2 linked regions of the Sus scrofa genome follow. The protein of the gene in region 1 purifies or fractionates together with the protein of each later gene. This does not show direct contact. Links are inferred from orthologs where the notes say so. Each region holds a gene or a part of one and is shown on either strand. Other genes may lie near its edges. The genes, in order: NUAK1 and FBXW11.

Evidence for each region.
Region 2: the proteins of NUAK1 (region 1) and FBXW11 purify together in Homo sapiens (affinity purification with mass spectrometry; 4 studies listed by BioGRID and IntAct, counting the BioPlex papers as one, with this or other methods). This does not show direct contact. The link is inferred for Sus scrofa from reciprocal best matches to the Homo sapiens genes NUAK1 and FBXW11.

Annotation. Positions count from the first base shown.
Region 1 is NC_010447.5:14,100,346-14,104,812, forward strand, and holds the start of NUAK1 (NUAK family SNF1-like kinase 1), read left to right. Parts: upstream 1-1,632; 5' UTR 1,633-1,859; coding exon 1,860-2,114; intron 2,115-4,467. UniProt on the Homo sapiens protein: Serine/threonine-protein kinase involved in various processes such as cell adhesion, regulation of cell ploidy and senescence, cell proliferation and tumor progression. Phosphorylates ATM, CASP6, LATS1, PPP1R12A and p53/TP53.
Region 2 is NC_010458.4:52,211,018-52,215,455, reverse strand, and holds the start of FBXW11 (F-box/WD repeat-containing protein 11), read right to left. Parts: upstream 3,056-4,438; 5' UTR 2,651-3,055; coding exon 2,606-2,650; intron 1-2,605.

The sequences.
Region 1 (4,467 bases):
TGATGAGTGCAGTGTTAACAGGCCATTACTCTGGCAGCAGGGAGGGGGTTAACACTCAGGACTTGCTGTTGCTGGAGTCCAGGGTAGGGTGATAAGGGGTAGACAGGAGTGAAGACAGCAGGAATGCAGAAGGGATGAACCTGAGGGCTGCAAGCCCCACTCACAGGTGAAAAAGTAAAGAACCACCAAGCCATCTGTAGAATGCACCAGGCATGCTTCATACCCCACTCTTCCCATCCCAGTCTGGTATACTGCACCAGTTACAGGAAAAAAAAAAAAAAATCCCATAGGCCCTCTTTTTCTCTTGCCTTCTTCCTTATTTTCCGTTGAGGCTTCTGAGAAGAATGAGAGGGGCAGTCCTGCTGCAGTCCTAGGCCCTTCCTGCCTGACCCTCGCTGATGGGGGTGGGGTGCCTGGTACCATCTTCAGAATCTGGCCATTTCAGTTAAACTCCAAAGGCCCAAGGGGCCTAAGAGTCATCTCTTGCTCAGCAGGCCCCAGGCCCTGCTCCATTCAAGGTCCCTGGCCTGTCCATCTCCAAAAGCAGCCTTAGCGGGCAGGACGGGCACCCAGGTGCAACCTGGTGCCGTTAGCGCCCCAACTCTTCTCCTCTCCCAGGGGTGGACGTCCTGGATGGTGTCAGAAGGCCGGCAGTCTGGCGGCGGCGGGGCCCCAGGTTCAGCCTCCGAGCCTCCCTTCCTCCCCGATTCAGCCTTTCAATCGGGAAGGGAGCGGGGCCGGGGTCAACGCGCCCCCTGGGGGTTCTCCAAGGCGCGCAGCTGTCCGGGGCGAGCAACCCTAGCCCCGGCCTGGGTAGGGGCCTGAGAGGCTGGGGTGCCAGCCCCCGCCGGGCGGGAGGGGGAGAGCGCCGCGGCGGGGGAGGGGGAGCCGTGACTCACCGCCTGTAACCCTACACCCGCGCTGCTTCCCCTCCCCCAGCCTCTCCCCCGTCTCCGGCCTGGCGGCCGCCGCGACACCCAAAACAAAATGAACGGGCGCCCGAGCCCGCGGCGCCCCACGCCGGATCGCGAGCGGGTCTCGGCGGCCCCGGGCTCCGAGCACTCCGGCCGGCCCGGCCCTGGACCTCGGCGAGCGCCCGCCGCCGCCGCCGCCCAGGCGGGAGCAGGAAGGGAGGCCGAGCGTCCGGAGCAGGCGTCGGAGGAGGCGTTGGCGGCGGCGGCGGCGGCGGCAGCAGAGGGCTCGCGGTAGCTACGGCTGGCGAGCTCGGGGAGGGGGCGCCTGGGCTGGGAACCACCCCCGTCTCCATCCTGGCCGAGCGAGGACAAAGCCCCCTCGCCGCTAGCGCGGCCTGTTCGGCGCTGCACAAAGGGCGAGTCGCGACACGCACCCATCCCCCCGCAGCTTGGGGCGGCCCCGGCCCCGGAGGCGGCCGCGAGTGGGGGAAGCCCAGGCCGCGCCTCCCCTCGCCCCCTCCCCCGGGGCCGCCCAGCGCACCGCCCCCGCCCCCGCCCCGTCTGCGGGTCCTGCCGGGGAGGGGTTGGGGGGCGCGGCGCCCCACATAACACGCCCCCTCCGGCGCTCGGAGCCACCCCTCTCCCCTCCCTCCTGCGAACACCACCGCCTCCCCTGCCGCCGCCGCCGCCACCTCGCCCGACGCGCCGCAGCTCGCCGCGGCCGGTGGGCGGTGCGCGGATCGTGCGCGCCGGGGGCGCCAGATGTGCAGTCCCCGCCGCCGCCAGTGACCCAGCCGCAGCCCGGGCGGGAGCGGGCTGCTTCCTCAATGCTGCGGGGGCGACCTTGAGCGCGCCCCGGTTTCCCTCCGCGGGCACCCCGACACCGCGAGCGCTGTGCCCGGTCCTGCCCTGCCCTCTCCTGCCGGGTTCGCCCCGCGTTCGGACATGGAGGGGGCCGCTGCGGCCGCGGCCGGGGACGGCCCGGACTTGGGGCTGGGGACGCCGGGCTCTCCCCCGGAGGCGGGGGCGGGGGCGACCGCAGCCCCCGCGGCGGCGGCCCCGGAGCCCAGGAAGCCGCACGGGGTGAAGCGGCATCACCACAAGCACAACTTGAAGCACCGCTACGAGCTGCAGGAGACCCTGGGCAAAGGCACCTACGGCAAAGTCAAGAGGGCCACCGAGAGGTTTTCGGGCCGAGTGGTGAGTTGGGGGGAAGCCCGGGGGGCTTGGGGCTAGACGCAACCGGGGACGGAGCCAGCGTGCGATGGGGTCTGGGGCACGGAGGGGATCACTTGTCCGCGAGGGGGCTTCCCGGGAACCCCCACCCCCGCCCCTCTGGCGGATTCCTGACTCTCCCACCAGCTCCCCGTGGCTCAGGCGTGTCTTTCTCCCTGAACACTTGTTACATCCTGTCTGCGCATATTTTGGGGGTTTTGATCCCAGCAGCAAAGTAGTGTTTATGATTTGCCAACACTTTGCAACGTCGGGACCGTTGGGGTCTCCCTCGAAGTCACGCATTCATGCCCTGGAATGCCTATTGCTCTGACTCCAGAGCCACATCCTCAGCTTGGGGTTGGTTCCCCAAGTCCCGCGTCCAGTAGATGAATGGGACCCTCCCCCTCCTTCCCGGCATCATCCCACTCGTCTTCCCCTTCTCCCTGATGCCGATGTGCCTGCAACGGAGGGTGGACTCCTGCCTGTTTATAAGAGAGAATGTTAGGGGGGCAAAGTAAAGGCTGCTGCATGGCTGAGGGTTGTGACAGTTTGCGGCTGGCTTCTGGGAGGACTGAATTGCCCAGGGCATGGACAGCCACACAGACGCGGAGTTGCAGACTCAACTGCATTTCAGGCCCTGGCTGCAGGGCTACTGCATTGCTTAAAGGGTCTGGCCCAGCCACCCTGCTCTTTGTGACAGCTGAAACCCTGCCAGGGCCCCAGGACCATTTATATTGCCCCAAGGAGAGGCATGAGTGCTTTGACTTCTCTGTGTTGTCCCAACCTTGGTTTGTTGTCATTTTCCTTTCTGCAAAACAGGCCCTTGAAATCCACACTGCTTGTGGCTAGAGGGTTGGGTTCAAAGTGACTGACTGTTGCAGAAAGATTTTGTGTGGTGTGTGGCAGAAAATTAATATGATTCTTTGATTTGAAGCATATCAAATGGCTTTTAATCGATTTAGGGCCAAAGTCAGGAACTAATTAGGGGACTCCTTGTGTGACTTTGGGGGTGACTCAGGGCCCAGGGTTGCTTATAAACTTAACAGATGACCACAGGGAGAAAGCAAAATGAACTGTGGAACGAAGTGGTATGATGATGTCTTTTGCATTTGTGCAGGGGCAGTTCTGCGGACAAAATGGGGCACTAATCAGAAAGTTCAGCCCCCAAATCCTCAAATATTTGGATACGGGATAACGCCCTCATTCTAAGCTTCACTATTTGGGTTGATACAGCTTTATCCTATAGCTTTAAAAAAGTCTGTTATAGGTTCATTGGACATTTGAGAGATTATACCTTTTATTTTTAAGCTGTCTCCTATCAACAAATTTCTATAGCAAGTAGTTGAGAGGGCAGGTGCCCTTTTGGTAGGTAGAAAATTTACAAGAGGAGATATATGGTTGCAAAGATGTCCTTTGAGGAACACACTTTCAGGTTTGTGGAAGAGGAGGCTGAGAAACGTGCGCTTCATTCATGCTTTTCTTCTGAGGTGATATTCCCCAGGCTGGATGTTGAATAAGCAAAAGCTAAGCTCCTTGCTCATGTTGTCTTAATAGCTGTTGAAGAATCGCGCTGGGAAGTTGGAAAGTGGAATAATGAAAAACAGACGCGGTTTGGGTTGCAGGTTGAGGATGTGAGCTTGTGAGTGGTCAGGGTGTGTCTGGGATCTGTGAGGGGACACAGCCGCCTGAAGGCTGGGGAGCTGCTGCTAACTGAAAGAATGAAGGCTTGTCTTATGGCAGACGTCTTTCTGAGCCTCGCTGGGGCTTCAGGTATTTGTGTAGCTGTCTGATCCATGGTCTAGAGTGAAAGGGATCCCATCAGTAGATGGGAGCCTGCCTTTCTCTTTTGGTGGCTGTCTTTCCCTTTATTTGCAGAAAGTCTGAACATTCCGTCAGGATTTAGTCGAATAGCCACGAGGGGGCGCCCTGAGAACGGAAGAGGCTCATTTCGCTGCAGGATTTGAGTCCTGCTGTTATTGTCCAGTTCTAGTCTCGCTTCCCATTGTGCTATTAATTTCAGCTAAGTCTCTTGTCTTACTCAAAAATTCTGCAAAGATTGCAAATCTGGTGGCAGGTCCACATCCAGAAGCTGGCAATCCCCAGACTGCTTTCTGCATGATAGATGAGCCTAGGCTGTTAGCAAAATCATCTGGTTGAAAACGCTGCATTAAGCAGATGGGAAAACTGAGGTTGGGTGAAGGGAAGACCTCCTTGGCCTTGAGTCCTCCCCCTGCTGAGCACACTGCTCACAGATGGTGTAAGAACTTCAGTGAGAAACAGAAATTGTCAGGTGGAAAATTCTCTGCGCCTGACTGAACAGAAAAATAAAACAAACACC
Region 2 (4,438 bases), on another chromosome or scaffold:
CCACATGCAATTGGATTTTAAAGCATTATCATTCCTACATCTGATCCGGGATTCAGTAAAGTGGTTGTTAAGTACCTGTGCTATCTACTACACTAAAATAAACACACAAATGTTCATCAAAAGGATTGCCTAAGAGTCTTAACTGGTAGCTCTTTGAGGGAGTATCAAAATCCATATATGAAAAGGCATTTTAAAATTGATCTAGATAGCTGTTAAATTTTTTTGTTAAACTATCTTAAGAATCCCAGTTTGTAAAGCCCTTGAAAGAGCTGAAATATCTTTTCAGATCACAGACACAATTATGTAAAATCAAAACTTTTTCAATTTATAAGCATAGGAAACCAGTATATTTAGGTCAGAGATTTTTTTTTTTCTACATCCACTCAAAACACTAAATGGATTACACTGTATTCATTTCTAATTCTCTTCAAAATAAAGACATTTTAGTTATTGTTTTAATGGCATGTAAATGGAAGGAGCACTGAACACTTTCAAAGAGGTACCAAGTTACAATTTTCTTTTTCTTTTTTTTTTTTTTTTGTCTTTTTGCCATTTCTTGGGCCGCTCCCGCGGCATATGGGAGATTCCCAGGCTAGGGGTCTAATTGGAGCTGTAGCTGCCAGCCTACGCCAGAGCCACAGCAATGCTGGATCCGAGCCGTGTCTGCGACCTACACCACAGCTCACGGCAACGCCGGATCCTTAATCCACTGAGCAAGGGCAGGGATCGAACCCGCAACCTCATGGTTCCTAGTCGGATTCGTTAACCACTGCGCCACGACGAGAACTCCCCCCAAGTTACAATTTTCGATATGAAGCACTCCTGTTGTAAATACATGTATTACACATACATGTAAGCATATATACTATATATGCAATTCCAGTTAAGATATTTTACTAAAATAACCCCTTACAAAATTTGCAGATTATCAAAGGCTTGATTACAAAAGTTTGATAAACTTTACTGAAAGGAAAAATTACTTAATAAATTACTTAATAAATGAAAATCAAACTTATGGTGACAGTATCCCTTAGAAAGCAACCACACCAGTGCGCGCACGCACACACACACCCCAGAAACTACCAGAGCTTTTTTTCCCCTCTAGTTTTCAAGACTGCTGAAGAAGTCTAGTGAATTATGCAAAGGACAGCAAATATTAAGCTGCCTCCATATTTATGCTACTGTACTTCCATTTTTAAAACATGCACCTCAACTCCCCAGATACCATCATCCACAGACACCATGCAGCTATCCAACAGACTTTCAATGTCACCATTTATTATTTATAGCATTAAATGGGGGAAGTGGCTCTGATGTCACCGACCCTACCCAGTGGAATCACTGACTCAATAAACATTTTCACACTGGAGAAAATCTGGCTAGGAAAACGTTTTGCTGTGTTAAGTAGATTCTTTCACCTTTCCTCTCAACCTTAGAGTAGAAGTTGTTACTGTATTAGAAGAGATACAAAGAAACTGTCAAGATTTCCACAGGAAGAAAGCCTGGGCCTGTCCATTTGCTGAGGCAAAGAGCTTCCCCTCCCAGCTCTCCAGAGCCCAGTTTGATTTCCCTAGTATTCCAATTGGCAGGTAATAGCTATCATATTTTATTTCTTCCACCAAGTCATCCACCAAAGAGCAAGTTCTTCGTTTCTACTAGCCACTCTCTCGTGGCCCTGTTTCTAAAAACCTTAGGCTCCAAGTCCCAAGGCGGAGGGGGGGTTGGGATTCGTGGGGCCAGAGGGTCTGGCCTGGGTACCAAAGGTTTCTAACAGAAGAGTGATCGATTTCCCAGGGGCCTAGGATTCTCTCCTACTCCTTTTCTAGAAGAAAGAACTGGCGGCGCAGATGAGGACAAGCCCTCTTCCCCCTCCCCAATTTCCCAGAGCGGCTCTGGAAAACGTGAAGTTACAGTGTCTCTTTCCTGGGAGATGGAATCCAGAGTACCTGGGGCCTCGCTATCCAAACATCCCTCTCGGCCGGGTAGGAAACCCTTTGTCCGAGAAGCCGGACACCACAGGGGCCCAGGAAAGAGGCCCCTTATCGGTCACAGCCTCAAACCCGAGAGCTCCCCACCTCCACCCCTGTAGGGCCTATGCCGGCATCCACACAGCCCTGGCTTGAGAAGAGGGTGCTGAGAGACCCCTTCTAGGACGCAGAGGCCGAGACCCCAGGTCGATCTTCTCTGTACCCCCTCCCATCACCATCTCACTCGGCCTGAGTGGGGCTTGCAAGAGCGATGCAGGCCTGGCCGGAGAATTAGAAAAAGAAAAAACAGAAAACCCCTTCTAAGGGAGGAAGGAGATGCTTGAGCGAGTGTGAGCTAAGGCCACAGCACAAGCGAGCGAGGGTCGTTCCAGGGATGGGCCCAGAGACAGGAGAGAAGGGAGGGAGGGAGGAAAACCGAGGGGCATGGAGGGGGCCGGACCAGGTCCGGCCTGAGATCTCGAGGGATCCGGAGTAAAGCGCGCCGGGCCGGAGGGCCCAGGTTCGGGCCGAGGCAGCGGGGAAGGGCCAGGGCCGGCCTCGCGCCGGACGTTGAGATGGGCAGGCCCGCCCGGGGCCGGACGGACGGAAGAACGGACGGTCCAGCGGGCCGCACTCACCATGAGCTCGATGGTCTTGTCCTCAATCACCGAGTCGGGCTCCATGGCGGCCCTGGCGGCCCCGCCTCGCTCTCCCCGCGCAGCAGCGAACGGCCCGGGCGGAGGAGGCGACGGCGGAGGCGGCAGAGGCGGAGGCGGCTATCGCACCCACTCTAGCTGCCAGCCCGCCCGGGCCGCCGGCAGCTCCGCCCTCCCCCTCGGCGAACGCAGTACGCAGAGCGAGGACTACAGCTCCCGGCAGGCGCCGCGGGTCCCGCAGAGCGTTGTGGGAACGAGAAGACCCCGCCAGACCAATCTCTCCTAGCCGTCCGAAGCTGAATTCTCAGCCGAAAGTAGCACGGGACTGCGAATGAGAGACGTGCAGACCTAAAGAATTACGGGCTTCCTCAAGGTGGGGCTTCAGGTGCGCGCCTACTACATATCCCAGAAAGCCCTGCGCGCGGGTTCTCTTTCCGGCTAGTTTCTTCTGACTTCCTGGCAGCCCGAGGCTCCCCGGACCCGGACGGAAACTCCAAGGCAACTCTTCACTTGCCAGCGATCCTGCGTGCGCGACCGATTTCCGCACATGCGCGGTCTGTGCCTGCAGTGCCCGCTCGACACCTAAGTAACGGCACGGTTGGTCTGGCCTCTGTGGCAGGGTGAGGTGTTGGCGACAGGTGGGTTCTAGGAAGGGATGGTCTTGGGGCTCAAGTGTCGGAGGGGGGCCAGCGAGCGAGAGAGCTCGGGCAGAGAAGGAGGCTCTGAGAGCATGGGCGTCCCAAGAGTGGCGTCCCAAGAGGGGTTTGGAAATTTAGTTGAGAAAGAGGAGTTTTGTGGTCTCTGTGCACCACGTACTGGGAGGAACTGAGAGGTGAAAGAGAACCTATTATTCATTCGTTTAGAAAGTATCTTTTAAACTTCCAGCCTCTGCTCGTCACTAGCCTAGGCCCTGGGAATCAGCTCTGATCCCTACAGACAAGGCTTCTCTTCTCACGCAGCGTAATTCTGGTAGGGGGAAGACAGACATTAACCATAAGAAGGAACACAGCTGGAGATGCCCAGTGAATTCTGCCTCCAGCTCGGTATAAACCTTATCAGGTCTGTCAGTAACCTCAAACCAAAGACGACAAAGGCCCGCTGAGAATTAACAGGTTGGGTTTATTGCTGGTTGCAGAGAGAGAGAACACACACCATGAAGAACTGTGGGGCATCTCAGGAGGAGTTGTCAGGTGATTTGGATGAGGGTTTAAGAAAGTGGGACTTTACCCTGGATAAGATGCTGTCAGAAAGTGGAGGTAATTTTATGATTGGGCATCTCAGTAAATGTTATCTAGACGGAAGGACTACTAGACGAGGCTGAAGTCCTGATTGGTAGAGAAGCAGGAGTCCCTCATTACCAGAATAAGGGCTATTTGGTCATTTTTTGTGGTTTGAACAATGTCCCTGTTTGATCTGTGTTCAGATTTAATTAGGAGTGGTTTCGCTTTTGTATTGGTCTATCATGGCCATAGAATGGCTTTGTCTAACATTTATGTTCTATGAAATTAGGTTCAACAAGAAAACACGAGGCCTAGCTAAGAGGACCAGGCTATCATCTAGTAACATTACTGCCTGTTTGATTGTATCAGGCCAGCTGCCAAATGTCAAAGGCTACTGTTCTCTTTCTCAAGTGTTTTGCATTTTCTGCACCTGTAAAGGGAAGGGACTAGATGACCTCTAAGTCTTTCCATTTCCAAGCACCGAATTGCTACAGTAATTTGTATGCATGCAGGACACAGTGTAAGTTCTGTTCAATACAGTTTTAAGTTTAATGGCCCTTATCCGATGCTTTCTACTTAGGGAATTGAAAGAAAA